Linked DNA regions of Lytechinus pictus. The protein of the gene in region 2 binds, or shares a complex with, the protein of the main gene of each other region. Links are inferred from orthologs where the notes say so. Each region holds a gene or a part of one and is shown on either strand. Other genes may lie near its edges.

Region 1 (7,676 bases), on a different chromosome or scaffold from region 2:
ACATACATTAACCAACAAATTCTGGAAGGTTGTCCTACATCATAACCTCTCACTCGACTCCGTGATCCCACTTTGACTTGCACACACAGTCACAGACGTGACGCCCCGTGTCGTCTGCTTCTGACTTTACTTAAACTAAACTACTGTCTTTGTACTGAGACTGACTGACCCCCTCTACCACTATATGGCAAAAGAAAGACCAATGAAAATAAGATGTGATTAAACAAACTTACCAGCTTATTGAAGTTCACAGTATGGCCATCGGCCTATCGGCATGTTTAATTGATTGCCTCAATAAGTTACAATACAAGAAGAAGTTAAAATCAACATTTTTTTTACACACCTCTTGAGGTCAAAGAAACATAATGCATAAATGAATGGACTCAATAGCAGTCAAGCAAATAATGACCATTTGGTTTATATCCCATCCCATTTTCATTGGTCTTTCTTTTGCCATTTTGTGACATTGAATGATTAGTCATTATTGCCATTATTGGATTCCGGAACCAATTGCGCCTACATAAATAAATTAATACCGGTATACCTAGTTGTTGTGTGTCCAGACGATCAGCTTTAGAAAGTCATTTGGAAAAATTTACAAGCGAAGTTTCATAAATGTTTAGTACAAAATGTTAGGAAATATTATAGAGAACAAAATAGAAGATGATTACAACTATTGAATTCATATTTTTAGTGTAATCCAAAGACAAAAAAGAAGGCTTCAAAAATATAAAGTGTCCGGACACCCGACCCCCCATCCTACTCTAAGTCTAAAAAGTCTCTAGAGCAGGGGTTCTCAAACTACGGCCCGCGGGCCGGATCCGGCCCTTGGAGCCTCTCAATCCGGCCCGCGAGACTCTGCTGGTTTTTTTTTAATCACTTTTAAGTCACAATATGAAACATAGCTTAATATGATTACATTGTGTATCCATGTAGACCTAACGGTAACCGTAATAAAAGTAATGGCAGTCAAATTAATTTGGCTTTTAAACAAAGTTTAGTGGAGTCTTTTCTGTCTGTTCGATCTACTTTCTTATTACATGACCAGCGCTGTTCTCACCATGTTTGGATTTACATACAGGTGCGAAAGTGCATTTTCCAGAATGAACAGTTTAAAGAACTAACTCATACCGAAGTACATTGACAGGGGCCGCGGAACGGTTTTAAAAGTGGGGGGGGGGGGCTGGCCATGCAAAAAATCACAATCATTATGGTCACTACGTTTTTTCACATGGTTTTGGAAAAAAGTGGGGGGGGGGGCTGAAGCGCCCCCCTTCCGCAGCCCCTGCTTGACCAGTGAACATTTGCACCAGAGCCTTCGTCTGGCAAACCTTTTGTGCCAAGGTTCAAGCAACTTGTTGCTGACAGACTGTCACTTTTCCCATATTGAAAGTGACTAAGAGACTGACATCCTTGTTAGAGTCTACAACAGACTAGACAGGAATAACCGTCGTTTCTGGGGATTTATTCAACAATTTCTGACATTTTACTGTAATCCCCATTTACCGACGGTAGGGTGTACGTGTGGGCTCGCATGTGTTCTCATTCCCTCCCTTTTGTCAATTCACAGTCCAAAGTTTGATGTAATTTTACACATCGAATTTACAATCTAAGGATGTATAAACAACAAACTTTTAATTGATGATATTCTAACATTTAAATACTTTAAACGATATAGATGAAAAAGGCATGAAAAATATACTTTACCGATGTTTAATTGGGTTGAACACGATAAAAATGGTCAAAATGGCAGCCAAACTATAAAATATTTACAAACGAACGTCAACAATCACGAATGTGATATCGATATTGCTTTCGATATTATACGATCTGCTCCATATGCGAACGAAACCAAAGATAAACGATACTAGTTATACTAGTACGAGTACTAGTTATAATCGCGATATATCGATTCGAGACATTAAGTTAATAACGACAATGACGTCATTCAAGATGGCAACTTGCAAGAAAAACCGTCAGGTCAGGTGAAAATGTCTTAGATGACAGATTTCTCAATCATCCAGAGGATTTTTTTCAATAACTCCGGCCCAAGGTATGCAATTACTTAAGTTATATATATTTCCCTGATAATGGAAACCATGAAACTTTCAATTTTGCTTAAAAAACAGTTTTAAATCGCGATCTATAAAACGCTAGTTCACTATACGTTGGCTGTAGGTACGGGGCCCCATCCCCTTCAGTCTATGTATGGTGAGTGGAGCCAACGTAGTTCAGCGGAACAACCAAAATACAGAGACTGAAGCTTTTGGTCTAACAACAGACATGCTCTATTATTCATTCTACTTTGACTACAAAAAATATTGATACTTCAAGACATTATCTGTCTCCCCAATACCAGGTATGTATAGGTATAATCTAGATTCCTTTTAACAAAGTACTACAATTTTGTTATCATTAATATTGACTCTCGCTACATGTATTTTGAAATCTTTTCTAATTTTGCCTGTGTTCCATATGAAACTGTTATAAATTTGTTGGATTAAATGCTTCCAAAATAAGGGCCAAGACCCGGGGCCAAGAGAGCATCTAGGACCCCGACCGCAAGGGTCTTTGCGCTTCGCGGACATTTTTTTAAATCTTAGTATCCACTTCACCCTGGCCCTTTCAGGTTTACTTGGAGTCTCATCTGGCCCTTCATAGAAAAAGTTTGAGAACCCCTGCTCTAGAGTCTAGTCTTATTAAATTATGCCAGCCAATCTCTTAATTATTGGTATGTGCGTAGTAAAGATTATTGAAGCTAGCCCGTGTCAAACTTTTGTTTATTTTGACTGAGTGGAATTTGTATAGCATTAGTGCGCTTGTAAAGTTTGATAAATATTTTGGAACCCAGTTTATTATAATCTACACGACACATAAAACAACGAATGGGACCGAAGGTAAACTTACTGTAGCCTTCGCTAATAAAAATACAGATTCCTGACTTGCTAGTGTCACATCGGGATCAGTTTTCATAATGTTCTTTATCCTCGTCAATGGAAATTTGTTGTTTCTCGTGGCTGTTTGAGATTTTTCATCCTCTTTCGTCTCTGAGTTTTCATTTTCTTCTTGAACTTCCCGCGGAACCGCAGAACTTTCTTCAGCCATGGTTGATTTTTTTGTCACACTAAAGAGGGCGTCCTAGTCGCAACAACTGGGGGCCGTTTCATGAAATTTGCTGACTATTGTATTTTTCCGACAGCCGCAGTAAGTATACAGTCAGAGGCCATGCCTTTCAGCCAAACAAAACTAAGGAAATAATCAGCACTGACAATTTAGTCAGTGCTGACAACTTTCATGAAACACCTACCTGTTTTATTGTCCATGCTCGGTCGCTCCGCTCACTTTGAACACCGCGGCCCCAATAAACTTGAGCATCATTATCTAAATTTAGACCCAGTGCATTTGTACCGGGAATAAATCGTCAGGAGGGACAAAATATTATTTTGACAATTAAATATAAGGTCATAGCCAAGATCCAGGCACGGATCCAGGAAGGGGGCGCTAAAATTTAAAATTTGCACCCCCTTTTGGAAAATCCTGGATCCACCCCTGCCAAGACCATCGCCATGAGATCTTAAATATATGGAGAGCAATCTATCCCTAGAAGCCCCCTTCTGCGGGTCAAGGGCGGAAATCTCTCCCCAAAGGTAGGTTGACCAGGGGCTGGAAAAATTGACAAGCAAAAAAAAAAAAAGGAAAAAAAAGGTTATCACCCCAAGTATCAGGTCATTTCGACCAAAATGAATTTTTCAAGCAAGCAAGCAAAAAAAAAAAGGTTATCACCCAAAAAATTAAGGTCATCTCGTCCAAAATACATGTTTTATTTCGATTTTGAATGATGTATTTCATTTCTTTCCTTAAAAAAAGACCAAAAATAGTAGGGGGACATTTGATATTGTGTCCCCCTACTATAGGGGGGATGCGTCCCCCCCTGTCCCCCCTGGGATTTCCACCCATGCCGCAGGTACATTATTGTATATAAATACCTAGAAAACCCTTTACGTGTATCCAATGCATCGTGAGAGTACGGTTAAAATGAATGATTTTTTAATTTTATTGTGGAACTACATCGAATTATTTTAATCTTTTATTATGATCACTGCATGCCTCCGGCGGGAGAGAGGGGTCACTGCCATTTGAGAGTGGACAACTATTGATTTATTTATCAAAATTAACACCTTTCAAAATACTAAGGCTGGTAAATCTTCCTTATTTTCTGCCATTGTGCGAATTTAAACCTTGGTATTTTATATAGCACTCTGCATTAATACCATTATTGTATCAACAGCTTAACAAGTGCATGCCTCCTCTCCCTCCTCTTCAATTTGCAGACCTTCCCATGATTTTAATCAATTGAGGACAAGTGCCATTAAAAGACTAGCAACTTTGCTCTCTCACGATAATATTAATAAATAAATAACATGATGACATTCAGAACTATTTTATTTTTTTAAAAATCGGACAACCGTACATCCAATCTTTACTAGAACTGCCAGTGACAGCCGATCGATTTCCGAGCATCACCTGATGACTTAATGTATGCCGGAATATGAATTGCTTCTCTGAGATTATGAATGGAATAGTTTGATGAAGATTGATAATTTCTAATGCGCATATATACCACTCCAGGGAATGCGCAATATAAGTTCAACATAAATGTACAGTAAATTAGACAAGTATCAAATCATACATTAATAAAACTCACACACTAATTCATAAGGTGATGGGGTATGTATAGGTTTTCAAGTTTGTTTGGAAGACAGAAGAGAAGATGATATTTGAAATGTGTGGGGGTTGCACGGGCCTAATCACAACTGGCAAGCAAAATATATTCATTCATTCATTCATTCATTTATTGGTTATTGCAACATTTTTCATAACAAAATTCTGGACAAGAAAATACATATCTGAAACTTGACATCAAGATAATGAACAATAGTTTTGTATATAAATCATCAAATATATCTTACATAAATGAAAATCATTAAGTGGTATTTTCTGTTTCACAATAAAAAATAGGATGGTTGCAAGGGTCGTCACAAAAGCAAAGCTTGAAAACGTAACAACCCTGGAATATAGCCAAAATAATTAATATCTATTGTCATTTAAACGTGCAGGTGCATGAGAGACTGGGGGGGGGGGGGGAGATGCTTGGTCCTTAGCATGGAATTTTAGAAAATAAAACGTTTTGTTGTTTGATTTTAATTTATACATGTTCTAGATAAAAGTCAATGTCTAATTAAAATAATGATAACAATGGTAATGATTTTCTTTTTTTTAATTTGTTAGGTATTGGTTTAATTGCATTTCTTTTATAGTTCGTTTCGTATAAAGGAATAAAATGATCTTGTCAGCTTGAGTGAATCTGGCAATGCATTCCAAATATCAGGTCCATGATGTCTTAGTGTTTTATGTGCAAATAGTGTCCTGGGATTGTTTAAGTGAATATTATTGCATGTTCTTGTTGGATATGAGTGTAAATTGTTATTATATGAAAATAAATCCGTGAATACCGGAGGAAGCATGTCGTAATTATATCTATACATAAACAGTGCTATTTGTAAAGTATATTTTCAGACGATAAAAAAGAGGGTCTGTATGTGAAAGATATGCAGATTTGGAACACATTCTAACCGCTTTCTTTTGCAATAAAAGTATATGATTAAGCATTGTTTTGCAGCTATTCCCCCAAATGAGGTTACAGTAGTGAATATATGGTAAAATCAATGTATTATATATCATAACAAGAGATTTCTCTGGTAAGATTTGTTTTAGTCTACATAGTATTCCAATTCCTTTAGCTACAGAGGAAGACACGTTGCTTATGTGCGGAGTCCATGATAAATGATTGTCTATTGTTATACCAAGAAATTTTACGTATTCTTTTTTATCTAAAGGCACATTATAAATTTTTATATCTTGTATACAATTTTCATTTCTATGAGATGATTGAAAATGCATAATATGAGTTTTACTTATGTTAAGAGATAACTTATTACATTTAAACCATGATGAAACTTTATTTAATTCTAAATTCATTATATTTATTAATTCTGGTAAGTTCTTGTGAGATAACAAAATATTAGTATCATCGGCGAATAAGATGAGAGAAAGAATGGAAGATGAATTTACTATATCATCAATGTATATTAAAAATAACAAAGGTCCCAGAATAGAACCCTGCGGGACGCCGCAATTGATAAACGATAAAGGAGATTTAACATCATTGATAAAAACGTATTGTTGCCTATTGGAAAGATAACTCTTAATCCATGACCAAGCAATGCCCCTTATCCCGTAATTATACAACTTATGAAGTAAAATACCATGGTCAATGGTATCGAAAGCTTTACTTAGGTCCATAAATAAAGCAATTGTGTGATTTTTTTCTGAAAGTGAGTTTACAACTTTGTCCAGCAATTTGGTTATTGCGAAATCGGTAGAGAAATTTTTTCTAAATCCAAACTGGGCTGGTGTAATAATCTTATTAAATGACAAAAAGGAATCCAATCTTTTGTAAACAATTATTTCTAATATTTTTGATATGCATGGTAAAAGAGAAATAGGCCGATAATTTGTAACTTGAGTAGGATCATCTTTTTTATGAATCGGGACTACTTTGGCTATTTTCAATAGCTCAGGAAAGCATCCAGTTGAGAGTGATAAGTTAAAAATATGTTCCAATGGAGAAACAATACATGTTACAATTTGCTTTAACAGTTTTGTACTAATACCATCATAGCCTGTTGACTTCTTTGATGTTAAAGCTTGTACTATTTTAATTATTTCATGTCGGTCTGTGGGAGTAAAAAACATTGTATTTTGATTTGGCTGGGAAAGATATTCTTTAAAATTCGTATTGTCACTAACTATCTTGGAAGCTAAATTGGGACCGATGTTTGTAAAGAAACGGTTGAATGATTGTGCGATTTCAGCCGGTTGAGATATTTCTTCATTGTCTATCTTAGGACTGTCCCTGTTGCTATGTAGTTTGCTTTTGTTAATCAATTTGTTTATAACTTTCCACGTGGCATTTAAATTTCCTTCTGCATCTTTTAATTCCTTACAATAATAATCTTGTTTGGATGAGCGGATTACACTGGTAAGAGTATTGCGATATTTTTTATACTTCTTAAGACTTTGTTCAGACGGTTTAGAAATATACGATTTATAAAGTTTATTGCGTTTTTCAATTGAACGTATAATTCCTCGAGTGATCCATGGGTTTCTTTTATCATTTTTGCGTTGTTTTCTTTGAACAAGTGGTATATTTTTATTATAATAATGAGTTAGTTTGTCAATAAAGTATTTGTAAGCTCTATTAACATCATGCTGAACCATAATTTCATGCCAGTCGTCTCTTTCTAAGTCTTCAATTAAGGCCGAAATAGTATTCAAATTTTCTTTTCTATATTTTCTTTTATTCGGCTTTTTATTATCATTAAGCTTCAGAAGTGAAGAAATAAAAAATATTGGTAAGTGATCCGTAATATCATAAGTAAAAACACCACTATGATTATTATCATTAAAAGAATTGGAAAAGATGTTATCAATTATTGTCGCTGACATTGGACTTATCCTAGTAGGTATATTTATACATGGATAAAAGTCATATGAAAATAGTGTATTCAAAAATGTATTTATGATATTCTCACTGGCATCATGATTTCCGATTA
Region 2 (8,268 bases):
ATTTCAAGAATTATTAAATTGACATTTAATGCATGAGTGAACATGAAATACAAGTTTTCACTTTTTCAAGTGGATCTCAGCAATGTGTTCATGGAAGTCAGAATAGGGATAGGAATTAGGTGGGGGAAGTAGGTTGACGGGATATGGGTCAACAGAACACTTAACCCCCCCCCCCCCTCTCTCTCTCTCTACCCCTTTCACCCTTTCCTGAGAGACTAGCCTTTGCGAGGGTGAGCAGGAATAAGCCTTCCAGTTTTTTTAGAGGTGAGTCCTTCAGAACTTGCAAAGTTAAGGGTGTTATGCTAAATTAATGATGAATTGAGATCAGTTTTGGTTTCATATTAAAGCAAATTTCATGAGTTACTAAATTGAAATGTAATGCATGAGTAAACAGGAATTGTAATTTTAATGTAGCTTTTTTAGTTTATTATGTGGATCTTATCAAGTGTGCTTGTGAGAGTCAGAGTAATGTGATGGTACCTGTTACATGCAAGGGGGTGAGATAGGGTAAGACTGGGTTATAGGGGCATTCTTCTTTGTGTTCTCTTACAAATAACAAATCATGTACTCACCCCCGCCCTCCATCCCCTTTCTTTCTCCTGGATGGTATTCAAACTTAAATGACTTATGGTTGACGGGTCTTTCTTTTCCATTGAATGATTATTAAAAACTTGACTAATTATGATGATTTATGAAATAATTTATTGAAAAAGCTGAATGTTTGATTGATCATTTATTGAAAAGGGTGAATATTTGATTGATCGCACTGATTGAGTTGATTTACTAATAGATTATTGATTGAATGATAGGTAAAAGTTGATGACCTAATTTTCAGAATTTATTATCAAATTGACAGTCCGCTCTGCACTTAATACGTACATGTAATAGCAATCAACCTCAATCTCAAAAGGAGAGAGGAATGGACCTGCAGGAGGGAGGCTAAACGTTCTGTTGACCCTTTTCCCATCAGCTTACTTCACCCACTGAAGTCGTTTCTTACCCCTATTCTCCCGACTCCAATGAACACACTGCTGAGACCCACATAGTAAAGTTAAAATGCTGCACTAAAGATTGCAATTCATGCTCACTCATGCATGGAATTGCAATTTGATAATTCATGAAATTTGCTTTAACAATGCAAATTGATAATGACCATCAATTCATCAAAACACCCTCAAGTTTGCAAGTTCCAAGGGACTCACCTCTCAAAAACTGAAAGAAACCAAAAGGCTAATTCCTGCCCACCCTGATTTTCATACCCTTTGTTTAAGTGGGTAGTGCTCACTCAAGCATGAATATTTTTCCAACATTTTGGTGTCATTTGAAAGATGACTTTATTGGCTTTCCATATATATAATTCTTTCCCCCCAAAGTGATATACTTTTTATTTGGCAGCCATTTCAAAAGTGTATAGTTTTTTTTGGACGCACTGTATAAGAAAGACAAAGAAGAGGGAAAGTGTGGATTCATATTGTTTGGTAAGTTTTATGGAAAAAAGTGGTCATTAACAATGTATGATCTAGTGTCTAAATTCCGGTTATGAGGGTGTTGTTGTGCCTTGACCCTTGACCTTGTACATGTAACTTTCCTGCGCACTACGCCAGAGTCACTCAAGCCAGGGTTCATTACATGCCGCCGCGCACAAAAAAATCAAGCCATAGAAGTTGTGTGTTGTGGACGCCAGAAGTGGGATCGCAGCACGCGCGACCCAATACTTAGAAACCCACTGCCAAATGCGGTTCATGGTGCGAGGTACTCATTCAATGAACAAGGTTATGATATAACCTTGTTCTCAGTTATACATGTATCTCCATGTGTGGCAAAATAAGGATGGCAATGTTTGGCTCATTTTCTCTTTTTCTTTGGGACAAATGCTTGATTTTCTTACACGTGACAGTTTCCAATTCACCTATTCGTCGTAACTTGGCCCTTAAGTAAATTTGATGCTTTAAATTATTTTTTTCTTAATAAAAAATAGAGATAAAAAATGAAAATTTTCTTGCCATATTATTTTCCACCAATAGAGGGCGTACACAAAAATATGCCCAAAATTCAATTTTTTCGAGCGCTCTAGTGAGTACAAAAATTATTCCCAAGTTACTTATAAAAAATAAATTGCAACTGTATGGAAATTAGTAATTTTGGTCACAAAAATGATATTTTAATGATTTTTTAAAGTGTGTGCTCTGCACAGCATTGGCATGCCATGATGTAGTCCTCCTACTATCCTAGACCTATAGTCCTACCTGTAGATTCCCCACAGGCAGGGTGGTTGCAGTGAACAAGTGGGTGGTTGCAGTGAACAAGTGGTGCGAGGTTAGTATACTTCTAATACTAATCTCACAATACGTGTGACTGTGAGTGCGCCAGAGTTAGAACCTTGACCTTGAGTGGGTCTAGCCTACTGCCTAATTCTAACTTTTAAAATGTAAGTTTCTCACGTTAGATTAGATTAATGCAAAAGAGAAAAAATACAGGCTTAGAAAACTAAGTACAAAATGCAGCTTCACAATTATGGGTTCTTAAATCTCGACATGAATAATGTCATGATGAATCTCGATTCAATGACAATGAAATGATGAATGATCAATGAATGACAAACTATTTTTAAAATAGATAGTTAGGCCTATTCTAAATCTAAATTCTAATTAATCAATGACGTTTCTATCTAGTAGGCCTATCAGGTTTTTGTAGCACGTGGTGTAACATTACTCGTTAGACCTATGTTGCATTAATAGACAGGCTCGAGTCAAACAACGTCCATGAAGTCGATTGACGATGGTGCACTGCAGATGCAGCTGAATGCCTGCAAGCAGTAGGGTCCGCTCACTCACCTACCACCTCCCCCGGAACCATCGGCGTTCTCACTGCGGTCGGCCCTGTAGCGGCCGCTGTTCTGCAGAACCATTCCGAAATCTGAACAGACACTCAGTGATAATTATTTTAACTTTCTGCCTCTCATGTGAAGTTTTGTCCAAATTCAAAGCCTCCAAACGCATCAGTAATACTTCAAAATATGTGTCAGCCTGGTACATGTACGTATTCGACAGAACAATATCAAAGACAAAGTATTAAATTAGGCTTGTTCGTGTTATTCTCGATCAGTCGATGATCTAGGAAACTTCATGTTTGGCGCGGGCGCGAAAATTGTTAACTTCAAACTAAAGAGGGCGCGCAAAATGTGAGGTTCTTTATTTGAGCTGAGCTGAGGAGCCGAGATATCGATATCGGAGTCTGAGAGCGACTAAAAGTAAAACATCATGAAATTCTTAATATTTTCAGCCTTTTCCTTGTTGTTGGTGATGAAAGGTAAGTCGCTTGTCCTCGTTTACAAGAGTGTGTGCTATTTATTGTACCATTAAGTGTGTTTAAGCAGTGATGTTTCTTTTTGGTATACCCGGAAATCGGCTCAGCTCAGTGAGGACTGACGACGGGAGCTCCGACGTCGCAGTCCCGGTACCTCCGGCGCCGGTGTGGTAGAAAATTTGGACCGGAGCCCGCCAGTCCAAAACGGCTAGTAAGTAGGCCTATATTTGGGCTGTCAGTACCAGGCCAAACGGCTAGCCGATCGGGGCTGCCAGATCCAAAAGACTGGTTGAAATTTTTGCCGATACGAACGGAAAGCCGCTGTTTGGTTCCGTATTCGTCAGAAGGTTCGAATGTAGTAGGCCTAGGCCTAGGCCTAATATATAATAATATCTGCTTTGGTGAAATGTTTCAATATAGGCCTAGGCCCTATATAATTATAGGTATGTGACAAAAAAAATGAAAATCATCAAATATGAATAAATTTGGTATCATTTGAAAGCTCTTAAAAAGACCTTTCAAATGATACCAAGAACTCTAATTTTTATCAAGAAATTATAAAGTTATTCCAGTTTAAGTGAAGTCGCGCATATTCATCCAGGTTTACTTTGTGGTCATTGTCTTAATGTAAAGTCAATTCAGTGGAGTACAGAACCGATTTTTGTGACCATTTTGAACCCAAGTCTTCAACAGGCTCTAACTTTGTTTTTTAGCCCTATGAAGTAATTTAGGTATCAATGGAAAGGTGAAAGAAAACTCAATCGATGTGTAATCATTTCATCTTGTAATTTTTCTTATTATTATGTGTAAAATAATTTCTTCTAATTCTAATTAATTATGCAAATTACACAAAATCACAATTACTCGGTAACTCGCCCCTTTTTTTTGCCAAATAAAGGTGATCATGATACTTGATAGATAATTTATATAATTTAGTTGGCATCAAAACAGCATCATGTAGATAATTTCCTAAATAAATTTGTTTAAAGTATTGTTTTTGTAATTTCTAATGTATTTCCTTGTTTTTCTGATATAAATTACAAGCTCTTTTTCAACTTAGTATTGTAAATTTTGTATACATGTATGTACGGGGGTCCTTTTTTACGTATACAAATTATCCCTTTTGTACTTTGTATGACCAAATAAAAATACAAGTGTGCTTTTTTCTGATGTATTTGATTGTTTCACCAATTCCTTATGTATTCTATTGTTTCAACAATTTGTTATACATGTGTAATATGTAGCTTTTGATTTTAGAGACAATGGACATTTGATTACTTTTTTTAGGAGGGATGAGCAGCTGAGTGTAAAATATGTTATGTAGCATTATATGCAATTTATTTCAAGTATCAAGAAGTACAAAAATTAAGCTTTAATATATTCTATCAGTTTTTAATGTATTTCGTAGATTTGTATACACACATTGTATTGCAAAGGCCCTGTTTGAGCTCTCTTTTTTTAAAGAAAAATAAATGAATTCAAACTATTAGTTGAAGCCAAAAGAAAAGGAAAAGAGTGGTCTATTTCTTTCAAAACAAAACAAAAAACAACCAGGAAAAAAAGATAACAAAGCTCTAAACAACAAAACAGACATCAAAGCTCCAAACAAACATTAAAACAAGAGAAACAAAAGTGACACAAAAACTTGTACCAATCCCATCCCCATTTTCCAGTTTAAAACACAACCCCACCTGCACCCCTAATGAAAAAAAAAAGTATTTAAAAAAAGTAAAAAAATAAAATTAAAAAAAACATAAATACAGGACTTAGACCTATCTGGAAATGAAATATTATTTTCTCTGAGTTTTCATGTATTTTCTTACAAGAGTGAAAAAAAAAATTACAACAAAAAAATAAAGAACATATAGTTTGTGCATTTTAATGAAAAATCAACATATAAGATATTCTCCTTTCAAAAGCAAATCCAGTCTCCAAATAATGAAACTTGACCAAAAAAATTGAAAAAATAAACAATACAAAAATTTTAAAAAGAAACAAAAATAAAAGAAAACCTAAGGGGGAAATATGAACAGAAAAGAAACAAAAGAACAAAAAAAAAAAATGAAAATTTTAAAAATAGAAAAGAAAAGTGAAGAAAATAAAAAAGAAAAGAGAAAATAAAGAATATGAAAGAAGCTATTAAAAAAATAATCCTTTTTAAAAGAAGGGGAATGGGTCCTGCCTCGTAGTCCTGGGGAGCTGATTCACACACTCACTGATATTAAGCCTCAATCTGCCCAGCTTTCTTTTTCAAAATAAATTTGGAGTTGTGCCCCCCCCCCCCCCAATATCTTTGAATGTAGTTATATTAATCCAAAACACGAAAGAAAAGAGCAGTTAATTTGGTAAACAAACAATAAACCCCACTTCAGCAAGCAGCAAGATCAGCGCCCTAGCACAGCTGACAGCCACATACTAGCCCAGCGCAGCACCGTGAAAACTCACCAGGATGCCTATAATGCGCGCGCGGTCATGCAGCCAATTTTTGCTTGGCACATACATGTACAGTAAGTTTCGGAGCTAAAAAACATTGTTTCGGTAATCAAATCACTTAGATATTTCATATGCAGGTAATTAAATAAATATTCTACGTAGATATATAACGTTCAAAACTATACATACCTTCCTTTTTTTTAATTCAAGGCATCGAATTCGTCTCCAATCTTTTGATGGTCGACGTATCTCAGTCCTTGTTCATCGTACGGAAAAAAAATAAGCGATATCAAGCGGGATTCCCGATCTCTTGATCAATACCCCATTCATGATTTAAGGTCTAAAAATAGCACCGCTACAGCGATTTTAGCAGAGACATGCACTGTGCACTCGAACAAGAGGCGGAACGATAGTGCGGTGCAAGGAAATAACCTGCGGAAGCGCGGATTGTCACGTACCTACAATATATATATAATATTGGTGTGATTTTTATTAATTTCATCACAATTATTTCTATAATTCAGTCTAAAATTAAAAATGTTGGTCTAGGTAGATCTAGATAAGAGGTATTTCAGCCTCGTACATGTATGTTACGGACGGTACCCTCGGTACACGATGCGATGTAGTATGTACGGGTACCTTTTTTGCGCACGTGCAGCGCTGGACTGCCTGGACAGTTGACACGGTACCGTACTGTACCACGTCTCTTTTTTGGAGTAGAGTCTACTCTAACGGTAGTTTTTAAACATTTGTTTTTTAACTTTTTTATTGTAAACATGGACCGTGATTTTGTTATCCAATGCGAGGACATCTCGCATTACCTAAGGCAAACTTCAAATTGCGGGCGCGCTCATGCACACTCTTTTATTATTATTATTTCATCTCCCCCTTCATTTTCCTTCTCCCCCCCCCCCTTATTCCCTCTTCCTTTTTTCCTTTTCTCATATACTTTTCCCCATTTCTTGCGATCTCTTCTTCCTACGTTTTTTTCTCTCCCTTTTATTTTCATATATTTCCTCCTTTTTCGACTACCCGGGTCCCATGCCCCAACCCCCCCCCCAAAAAAAAAAATATGCGCATAGTGTGTGTCTCAATGAGGTGTCATTGAGAGTTCCCTGTGTTTCTGGCAGCCTTATTGTTGGACTTAGTTTTCTTGTATTGATACATTCATTTTGATTTCTACTTGATTACTTTGGGGGTTCGAAGAGCATGCAGCAGTGTTTACCCCACCATCACCCTAGTCGCCAATCCCATCCTATTTCTTGCTTGGTAATGAAGACCAAGACAAACCAGCCATATTGGTGGATATATTGAAGTTCACACCCTGAATAGCACAGGCGCACAAAGGGAGCACACAGTGTGAATAGGGCTTCATGGCTCCACCCAGCAGCCGTCCCCGGATGTTTAATTAATTGGAAGAGTGCTAAAAAATGCATACAACTTCCTAAATAACTTGAGATTCTCAAATCGGCAACTGTATCTGTTCTGTGGGTGTGGTTGACTTGGAGGAGCAAATTGGTTGAAAAGGACGACTGGAATATCACAATCTTGCTGTAGGGGGGATAATGGTGCATGAACAGCGTATAGGAACAAATCGCCTGGTCGGAACAAAGCGACTATGACGATCGCATCACACAACAAATGTCGGAACTAATCGGCGGGTAAAAGAGCCGCCGATTAGTACCTCCGGCCCCGATCGGCTGCCCGGTCCAAATCGCCTATGACACCGGCAGGTGATGAGCTCAGGGGCCTGTTTCATGAAATGGTCTTTGGTAGAGCCGCTGGAAGTACATGTATTACGTTACATCAAAAGAACGAGATATGGCTCAACTGTTTCACAAAGTCAAAGGCAAAGCCAATTTGGGCGATGCGAAGAATGGTCCTTTGAAAGACACCTCATCGACACCTCCAGACATGTCCTACGTACATGTAGGCATATCATATAATCATGATCTTCTTTGCACACCACCCGCCACTGTCGGCATTGAAAGAAAATGCGTTTAATGTACGGCAAGCCACAATATCATTATTACCTTTAAACTTTTTTTGGGGGGGGGTCATTCCTTTCGATTGCACTCTGATGCATTTTATCTGGGATGGCGCCAAGTTATTTCTTGTATGGGGGCTAGTTGTCATCAATTTCAGGTCGTCTTGCACGGCAACAAGACGACCTAAAGCGAATGCCATTTTAACTTCTCCGGGTTATCAAATAATTGTTTAATATGTTTTCTTTTATTTTCCCTCTTGTCTTTTCCCCACCCCTTTTTTATTTTTCAATCAAACTTGAAATATCGAAATGGGCGGCAATCTCTCTGACCCCTCATGTTTTCTCATTAGATAAACAACATGAAAACAATTTTTTTAGATAGAAATTATGTATGGTAAAAAACGTGTTTATAAAGTTCAGCAAAAAAAAAACATGATACAAAACTAAGATGTTACTAAAAATGCTATATAATTTTTTTTTATTCATTATAATTTTTTTTGTTGTTGCTGATATTGATTCTAATCAATGAAAAGTACTTGTTG

What was found. Proteins that work in one complex are often made in the same cells at the same time.
Region 1: DNA polymerase epsilon catalytic subunit A-like (region 2) and DNA polymerase epsilon subunit 4-like share a complex: the UniProt entries of both Homo sapiens proteins name them as parts of the DNA polymerase epsilon complex. The link is inferred for Lytechinus pictus from reciprocal best matches to the Homo sapiens genes POLE and POLE4.

Annotation. Positions count from the first base shown.
Region 1 is NC_087255.1:27,939,436-27,947,111, reverse strand, and holds the start of DNA polymerase epsilon subunit 4-like, read right to left. Parts: upstream 3,134-7,676; 5' UTR 3,106-3,133; coding exon 2,908-3,105; intron 1-2,907. UniProt on the Homo sapiens protein: Accessory component of the DNA polymerase epsilon complex. Participates in DNA repair and in chromosomal DNA replication.
Region 2 is NC_087252.1:33,394,887-33,403,154, forward strand, and holds the start of DNA polymerase epsilon catalytic subunit A-like, read right to left. Parts: upstream 3,164-8,268; 5' UTR 2,909-3,163; coding exon 2,835-2,908; intron 1-2,834. Other genes in the region: MAM domain-containing glycosylphosphatidylinositol anchor protein 2-like, read left to right, coding at 3,261-3,309. UniProt on the Homo sapiens protein: Catalytic component of the DNA polymerase epsilon complex. Participates in chromosomal DNA replication.